Danio rerio: one gene and its partner. Each later gene encodes a partner of the first gene's protein in a complex. Links are inferred from orthologs where the notes say so. Each region holds a gene or a part of one and is shown on either strand. Other genes may lie near its edges.

Evidence for each region. Proteins that work in one complex are often made in the same cells at the same time.
Region 2: strap (region 1) and gemin2 share a complex: the UniProt entries of both Homo sapiens proteins name them as parts of the SMN-Sm complex. The link is inferred for Danio rerio from reciprocal best matches to the Homo sapiens genes STRAP and GEMIN2.

Annotation. Positions count from the first base shown.
Region 1 is NC_133179.1:17,468,827-17,473,329, forward strand, and holds the start of strap (serine-threonine kinase receptor-associated protein), read right to left. Parts: upstream 2,558-4,503; 5' UTR 2,368-2,557; intron 2,214-2,367; 5' UTR 2,201-2,213; coding exon 2,089-2,200; intron 1,657-2,088; coding exon 1,521-1,656; intron 1,441-1,520; coding exon 1,359-1,440; intron 1-1,358. UniProt on the Homo sapiens protein: The SMN complex catalyzes the assembly of small nuclear ribonucleoproteins (snRNPs), the building blocks of the spliceosome, and thereby plays an important role in the splicing of cellular pre-mRNAs.
Region 2 is NC_133192.1:14,291,959-14,296,461, reverse strand, and holds the start of gemin2 (gem-associated protein 2), read right to left. Parts: upstream 2,617-4,503; 5' UTR 2,507-2,616; coding exon 2,388-2,506; exon of another isoform or gene 2,367-2,387; intron 1,342-2,366; coding exon 1,260-1,341; intron 1,180-1,259; coding exon 1,090-1,179; intron 1-1,089. UniProt on the Homo sapiens protein: The SMN complex catalyzes the assembly of small nuclear ribonucleoproteins (snRNPs), the building blocks of the spliceosome, and thereby plays an important role in the splicing of cellular pre-mRNAs.

The DNA.
Region 1 (4,503 bases):
ACATGCTGGTAAAAACTCCTAAATGAAATTACTCTGGCAAGTTTACAGAAAGTGACTTCATTTACATGTAGTAATCGGTGATCAAATGATTTGCCTTGATCTGAATAAGACAATAAAATGTTTAAGGTGTTTACATGAGTTACTTTTTGAATATTGCTTTCATGATCCCTTTTTACATGCTATAGCACATAGTTTGATTAACGTTGTTGCGTCATCGTGCTATCCACATTTGCTCTGGAGTTTCATGTAATTTCGGGAGTTTTATTTTTATTTTGTTGACTTTAACTGCAGTTTGGCACTTTCATTCAGGAATAATTCATGCATGCCCCCATGACAAACGAGATTTTGGATTTTGGATATTGGTTTTTTAAAAAAAAAACTCAGCATTTCGCAATGTACACTGTAGATGTCTGTGGTCCTACTGACTTGATAGTGCAGAGAATAGTGTCAAACAGCCGTGTGTATATAGACTGTCCCATTGCAAAATGTGGCAAAAACCCTACACAACGGTAATAGTTTGATTGCGTTTACATGTCTTTACAGTGTCAATGATGTGACTAAAACCGGCATATGCCACGTCTTAATTACATTTCTGTAGAGTTTGATTATGACCTTAATCTGATTAAATTAATGAAAAATTTCTGTTTATATGGTAGAGTCTTAATCAGAGTATTGTCTTAATCGTATTAAAATTGCATTGGTATCCTTGTAAATGTACTGAGTGATTGAACACATGGGTTACTATTGTTCCAAACTTTATTTCATTTTATTTATTACTTTATCTATTGTGGTTTAAATTTAATAAGGAAAGTCCCAGTGACATGCTGTTTCTCCTGTCAGGGTTCACATTTGAAAATGAAGCTAACTGAAACATTTAGTTATGAAACTTTACTGATTGCCGAAGTAAATTATGAGAATCATGAAGCAAATTGAGCCAGCATTCTGTTAACCCGTGGTTTTGAATGACCACAGGTTAACTATTTTAAGTAAGATCATTTCATAAACCAAGTGTTGCATAAATAGTCTGAATATCTCAATATAGATCAGTATTATATCTTACTAAAATTGTTGCAAAATGTTTTAATTAGATACTAGAATAAATTAATGACTTATTCATTTGTTCATACAAGTAGTTTAAAATAAATACATTTAGCCTGTTATGCCAAAGTTGCATTTACTTATTCAAAAATACAGTAAAACTAATATAAAATTATAATAATTTAAAAAACCCACGTTGTGCATAAATATAATTTGAAATGTATATCATATTCCAAGATTACAAAGTCAAGATTTCATCTGCCATAACTCTTGGCTTACACAATTTTGCAGAACTCGTTCTATACATCAGCATGGAATACCTGTGTAAAGTTTACAGACTTCACAATGTGCTTGTGCGCCAGGGTGAGGACCTCGTCTCCAGTGACAGCATCCCATACCTTCCTGTCAGATTCATAAGAAATATAGAAAGTAAACTCATGTTTCAACAATAACAGTTCATCTTTTATTCCTTTAACACTTACGCTGTAAAATCTGCTGCGGCCGTTGCTGCTTTTGTAGCTTCTGTATTCAAGGTGGCACCCCAGACAGCACCCTTGTGACCCAAGAACGTCCCAATCCAGTCCCCTGTGTCACCCTGGCGCAACATAGGTTTGCCATCTGCAAAATTTGAACACAAAAACAAACTTATTTGACAGATACATGACATATGCACACACTTATTTTAAGAAATGCTTACTTTTTAAGCACACTGCCCTGCAAATGTAGGTAAAAATGGTTTTATATTTAAACTTTCTCCTTAATTTTATTTCAGAAAAACATTATTAGCAAGTTATAAATAGCAAAATCATATTGTCAGCCAATGACTATCAAAGCACAACATTGTTCACAATCAAGTAACGTGATAATGTTGTTTTGAAGTCATAATTAAATGTGATTTCAAGCCGAATATTCAAAGTACCATGGTGAACAATATAGGGAGCATGTCACAAGTGGTCACTGCATGAATGTGCAACTATAAAACCAACAATGCCCTGCAATGAGGTTGTGTTTACTGTGAAGAGTTGGTTTTAAGTCCAAGTACATACAAACCTTTACAAGCACTAATGAGGAAATATCCATAAGGAGTTATTCCACTGAACGCCAGATCCACAACAGGTCTGGTGTGACCAGAGCAGGTGAGAGGGGTCTGTCTCATGGCCATACTTACTGAGGACCTAAAAAGATGACAGGACACATAAGCAATTGTACTGAAACATAGCTACGTATTTCTTAAAATTCAAGTATCAAATAAGAGATGTACATATGAAAAATCAGAACAGGTGTGCTGGCTAACACAAGCTTGGCTAGTCAAAGAAAAACAATCATTACCTTGCAAAGCTAGCAAATCAACGTCACACACTAGTACTTTGCGGCCAGATTGCGTATCGGGGATGATTGCGGAGCTGCACTCCCAGCTACAGTGCTGTGCCACCAGCTACACGAGGTGTGTGTGTGTGAGTGTGTGTGTGTGTAAGCTAAACTCGAGCCCTCGCTAACGCTACAGGAACATAATGGAAGCACTAGTGTGAAAGCCCGGCCATCATTTCCGGCCCGCGACGCCACGGGGATTGGACAGAACTGGATCACGTGACCTGTCGTAGCGTCGGTTGAGAAAGCGTACATCCCGTTTTTCTACCAATGGACGTGTATGTACAAATAAAGTGCTAACATGTGCTGTATTATGTTTAAATTCCATTATCTAATATGTAATATCTGGGATAGGAAAGATTCTAGCGTTAATATGAAGACGCTTTCTCAGTACGAACTACAAACGAGGAAAGTTACTACTTTGACACACTTCGTTTATCAGTGTTGTTAACGGATGGTTATATAACTAACGTTATGGCAAATGTGAGGAAATAACATGTTAATAATAATAATAATACTAATAATAATAACAATAATAATAATAATCAGTGCCATAAATCAATAAGCTTTACGCTATTTAAAATATATATAAGGTAAACTTTCTGAGCCACGAAGCGCCCCCTGTAGGTAAGTAACATCTGCACAGGATATAATTACTATTTGAATAGAGCGGTCAGGATAAATATTACACATGGGCTGGTTGCGGTAAAAATGCTTTACATTCAGACATCTCAATGATAATTTTGCGTGCAAGCCTCACTGGTATGTCTACGTGTGCTCTGATGTCATGATAACCTCACTGTCATGGGACACACCTGTTTTAAATGACTTAGAGCAATTTCTGGAAAAACTCACGGAGTTCTTTGAATATTCTGAAGGGATGTGCAGGCAGGCAGGCACGTAGATAGATAGATAGATAGATAGATAGATAGATAGATAGATAGATAGATAGACAGACAGACAGACAGACAGACAGACAGACAGACAGACAGACAGACAGATATAGATAGATAGATAGATAGATAGATAGATAGATAGATAGATAGATAGATAGATAGATAGATAGATAGATAGATAGATAGACAGACAGACAGACAGATATAGATAGATAGATAGATAGATAGATAGATAGATAGATAGATAGATAGACAGAGAGACAGACAGACAGACAGACAGACAGACAGATAGATAGATAGATAGATAGATAGATAGATAGATAGATAGATAGATAGATAGATAGACAGACAGATAGATGATAGATGGATGGATGGATGGACGGACGGACGGACGGACAGACAGACAGACAGATAGATAGATAGATAGATAGACAGACAGATAGATAGATGTTTTATGTTCTCATTGCAATGTCTATTTAAACGTCATCCAAATTAAAGGCAGTGCTTATGACTCATTAATCACAGCTTTTTGCAAATCTTACATAATTGCATCTCTGAAAATCTTGCTAAAGGCCATTAGAGATGAAGATCTACTGTAAGCACACATTTTCATGAGGGGAAAACAGAAATGCAAACACAGGACGCCTCTCTCATTTGAGCATTATCTTAGTAACACAGTAACGCTGAAAGCTTCAGATGCAAATCAGCGTGTGAGTCATGTTGTACCAGCATGCACCGCGACTGTTTCCTAGCACACGGGGGTGTGAGAGGTCCCGATCATTCTAGCGAATCGGTTCGTTCATATGATTCACTATTATGAACCGGTTCAAACGCCATCGCTGAAGTTACCTAATAAAATACTTATGTTTATATTTTATATTTACACAGCTGTGGGTCGGTTATGATCGTCTGCCTAATGGGTGATTAGAAGGGTTAGTTCACTTAGAAATGAAAATGTTTGGCGTAATGACATTTTTGTAATAACATATTAATAAATGCTTCCCACACAGATTCTCAAGCCACATACCACCTTATATAAAATATTTTTATTCAGAAACACTTAAATTAACTGGATACTTAACTTAAAAATGAATATTTGTTAATTTGTGTCAATTTTCTTGGTGTAGTTTCATTTTGACAACCAAGAAGTCCGAGTCAAAAATATATATGTCCAGGCAAAACAAAATGGTAGCACTTTAGT
Region 2 (4,503 bases), on another chromosome or scaffold:
AGAACATTTACTCTGTATTTACTCCCCCTCAAGTGGTTATCAACCTTTATGAATTTCTTTCCTCTGTTGAGAGGCATTTTGAAGAGTGTTGAAAACCTGTAACCACTGACTTCCATATTAGGAAAAAGAAATACTGTAGTAACAACAAATTCTAAATACTACTACTAAGTCAATAGTTACAGGTTTTCAGCTTTCTTCAAAATAAAGGGTGAGTAAATGATGACAGAATGAAATATTAAATGAAAGTTGTCATCATTTACTCATCCTTTATTTTGAACAAAGCTGAAAACCTGTAAAACCTGTTTTTTTTTTCATCTGCTAAACACAAAAGAATCTATTCTGAAAAATGTTGGAAAGCAGTAACCATTGACTTCCATAATATTTGTTTTTTTTTACTATGGAAGTCAGGTTTCTAACATTCTTTATAATATCTTCTTTTGTGCTCAACAGGAGCTGAGCCGAAAGGCAAAGCTTTCGATTTACCGGTCAATCTACGTTCCTACTCTCACCTATGGTCATGAGCTTTGGGTCATGACAGAAAGGACAAGATCACGGTTACAAGTGGCCGAAATGAGTTTCCTTCGAAGGGTGGCAGGGCGCACTCTTATGGATAGGGTTAGGAGCTCTGTCACCCGGGAGGAGCTCTGAGTAGAGCCGCTGCTCCTCCACATCGAGAGAACTCAGCTGAGGTGGTTCAGGCATCTGTTTGGGATGACTCCTGGACGCCTACCTAGGGAGGTGTTCCAGGCATGTCCCACCAGGAGGATGCCTCATGGAAGACCCATGACACGCTAGAGGGACTATGTCTCTTGGCTGGCCTTGGAACGCCTCGGGATCCCCCCCGGAGGAGCTGGAGGAACTGTCTCGGGAGAGGGAAATCTGGGGTTGTCTCCTAAGACTGCTGCTCCAGCGACCCGGCCCGGAAAAGCGGCAGAAAATGAATGAATGGATTTGCTCAACAGAAAAAATAAACTTGAAAAAATTTGGAACCACTTGAATAATAGTAACATTCATAAATAATGAGTAAATATTCATTTTTTGTGTGTGAACTATCCCTTTAAAGAAACTAATGTGGTTAATATTGAACACCTGTCTGACTTCTGAAAATCTGCTGACTTGTTGCTGCTGCCATTTAAAGCTGGGTGAAAAACCCTCAGGTGCAGCAAGACAACCTGTGATCTGAGGCAAAAATAATGGCACAGTTATTTTACACATTACAGAATTTATAACAGATTATTCAGTTCACTTTTCCCACTTACAGACACATTCACTGACTGTTTCTTCAGCTTCTTTGGATCAATTTGTGCCACAACAACATCTGGACACAGAGATGCTTCCCTCCTGTAAAATATACAGTAGTCGATATTTAAACAGGGTCTTTTTATTAAAGTTGCCCGAAAACCATTGAACAACACCCACTCTTGTCTTAGAACAATTTCGAAAAGCGTTTTCAATCCACTTGTAAAATGCTGACTACTATAATGTTCATCGAACAAGAGTCAAAGTCAAGCATAGTTTCATCAACAAGAAAAAGCTAATACAGCTTTAAAGTAGTTTTGTTTTTCCTGTTGCATTAGAATGTGTAAAATAACATTTTTTACAAACAATATTTACAATAGTTATTCTGTGTAATAGTAATTTATTAGCCAAAAGCATTAAAGTGTAGCCCCAAATCATATTTTGTTAGTGCCACTGTCCTTCGGATCACTAGTTTTACCAATTTGATCAATTAGTTCAACGTGCTAAGCATTGGGTAACAAACTATGAGGTTCTAGGTATGAAACCAGCATAGAGCCACAATCTTGACGGGCGGCACGGTGGCTTAGTGGTAACCACTGTCACCTTACAGCAAGAAGGTCACTGGTTCGAGTCCTGGCTGGGCCATAAGGCATTTCTGCGTGGAGCTTTAATGTTCTCCCCGTGTTGGTGTGGGTTTCCTCTAGGTGCTCTGATTTCCCCCACAGCGCTCTCTCTGTGAGTGTGTGTGTGTGTGTGTGTGTGTGTGTGTGTGTGTGTGTGTGTGTGTGTGTGTGTGTGTGTGTTTTTAGCTGGTCATCTCCCAGCCTGCCCAGCTAAGACCAGGCTGGAAATGACTGGAAACCAGCCTGCAAATGGCCATAACCCCTCTCAAACAAGCCTGGTCAACCAGCTAAAACCAGCCAACCAGCCTAGGCTGGTTTAAGCTGTTTTTTTTTTCCAGTAGGGTTTAACAACATAAGTACTGTTTAATTGACTGAATAATGTTGTACTTTAGTAGTCATTGGCAGCTAATATGATCTCCTTCTTTACAATTTGCAAATAATACTTTTCTAAAACTGTATTATTGATGAGAATGTCTGAATGTGCGAATATTAAACCAACTTTACCTCAATAGCCGAAAGACTTACTGGACAAATCTGAGATATTCCTGAGGGTTTCTAGGCGGCTCGGTAAGAGTATATTCCTCTGTGTCGCAGGAATCCACTGGCAGGAGTCTGGGCATCAACTCCTCGGCGTCTGACTTCATCTCTTTGCCTTATTTTTTATGCACGACCATCAAAATAAATCAACATGCTCACTATTACGTGCATGTCAACCTCTCCATTTTGAAAACATTGGACACGAGGATGACGATCAATAGACGCGACGGTTCTTTTATTCACTCGCTTACAGATGGAAAGATGTGTAGCGACATCTGTTGTTTAGGAGAAATGTGAAGGGTAACAACATAAAATGGTGGAGAAATATTGTACAAGTAGAATATTTTTTATTTACTCCCCAATAAGGTTAAATAAAAAGGAAAAATTATCAAATAAGAGCTGTGTTTTTTGAAAACTCTACCCCTTCTGCTATCTCACATTGAAACGGTCTTTTTGATTATTTAAACTGGGGAAATATATGGTCCATACATCAAGTTTTTCCTTACTAAAAAGGTAAAGGAAATATCTTTTAAATTATTACATAACATTTATCCTATCAAAAATGTCTTAAAGAAAAGATTTGGATCATACTTTGATACAAATATCTCCTTTTGTCAGATTAACGCTGAAACTCCTCGCTTATTTTGGTCATGCAATTGTCCAAATATTACTTTACAGCATTTTTCTGTGACTACAAAAGTCATTTTTGGTGTTTTTTATAACAAAGTTTAATGTCTACTTTAAAATAAACCTTTTTCTTTATGCAGATTTTATGTTCATAAATGTATATTGTCAATGTCAAGTTGCAAGCTAACATTTCTAGCATTTACAAGAGATTAAAAATTACTTACAGTTCCAGATTCACTTAACAAGAAAGTACTCAAAGCATACCATTTGCACGACCTTTATAATCAATTAAATCTCTAAATTGCTGCTTCTTATTTTGCCCTCTTCACTTTCAATTTTTTTTAAATCTATATATCTACCCTCAGATCAGATGGCCTATTGATATTTCTTTGTTTTTTGTTTGATTTCTGTTGGTTGTTCCTCTTTCTTTTTTCTTCTTTTTCATTCTTTATTGGCACCATTGTAAATAATCTAATGATTATTATTGTAAATGATGTGCACCAAATGTATCTTTCTGTAATACAGTAAATGTATTTAAAAAAGATAAAGAAAATATTACACAGGTATCCCTGCCATCTGTTCATTAATACATTTTAAAAAGACATTTCATCAGAATGTTTTAAACCTGAAAGTCTCCTACATCTATTTTGTGCTTGTACATTTATTGACGACTTTTGGAAACTGGTTTCAGGGTTAATTTTTTACTCAGTTTATAATAAAATTATATATAATTAACTTGGATGAATGCATGATTCTTTTTTAAACTGAAAACTGGCCATGATACACTCGGTAATGCTTTGAAGTTGATTATTTTTCTTGGGACGTTTCACATACACAAGGCAAAATTAAAGTCTATAACCCTCTCCTTCAATTAATTTATTTTTCTTATAAGTTTGAAACAGGCAACGCAGTGGAGCAGTAGGTAGTGCTGTCGCCTCACAGCAAGAAGGTCGCTGGTTCGAGCCTCAGCTGGATCAGTTGCCGTTTCTGTGTGGAGTTTGCATGTTCTCCCTGCGTTCGCGTGGGTTTCCTCCAGGTGCTTCAGTTTCCCTCACAGTCCAAAGACATGTAGTACAGGTGAATTGCCTAAATTGTCCATAGTGTGTGTGGATGTTTCCCAGAGATGGGTTGTGGCTGGAAGGGCATCCACTGCATAAAACTGTGTGCTGGATAAGGTGGCGGTTCATTCCACTGTGGCGACTCCGGATTAATAAAGGGACTAAGCCGAAAATAAAATAAATGAATAAATAAAGATTTAAACATTTTACAATTTTACTGAGTAAAATATTATGAAATATTTCATAATTTTTTGACTGTTACATATGTCATCTTGAATGCAATTCTAATTCTGTCTTTAAACACCCATAATGTAATCAGAATTTAGTGTTATGTTACTTTGTGTCAGATCAGCAGGTTTTGAATGTAAAAAAAGGCCATGTTTTTACCATGCTACATTAATTTTTTATTTTAAAAAGGA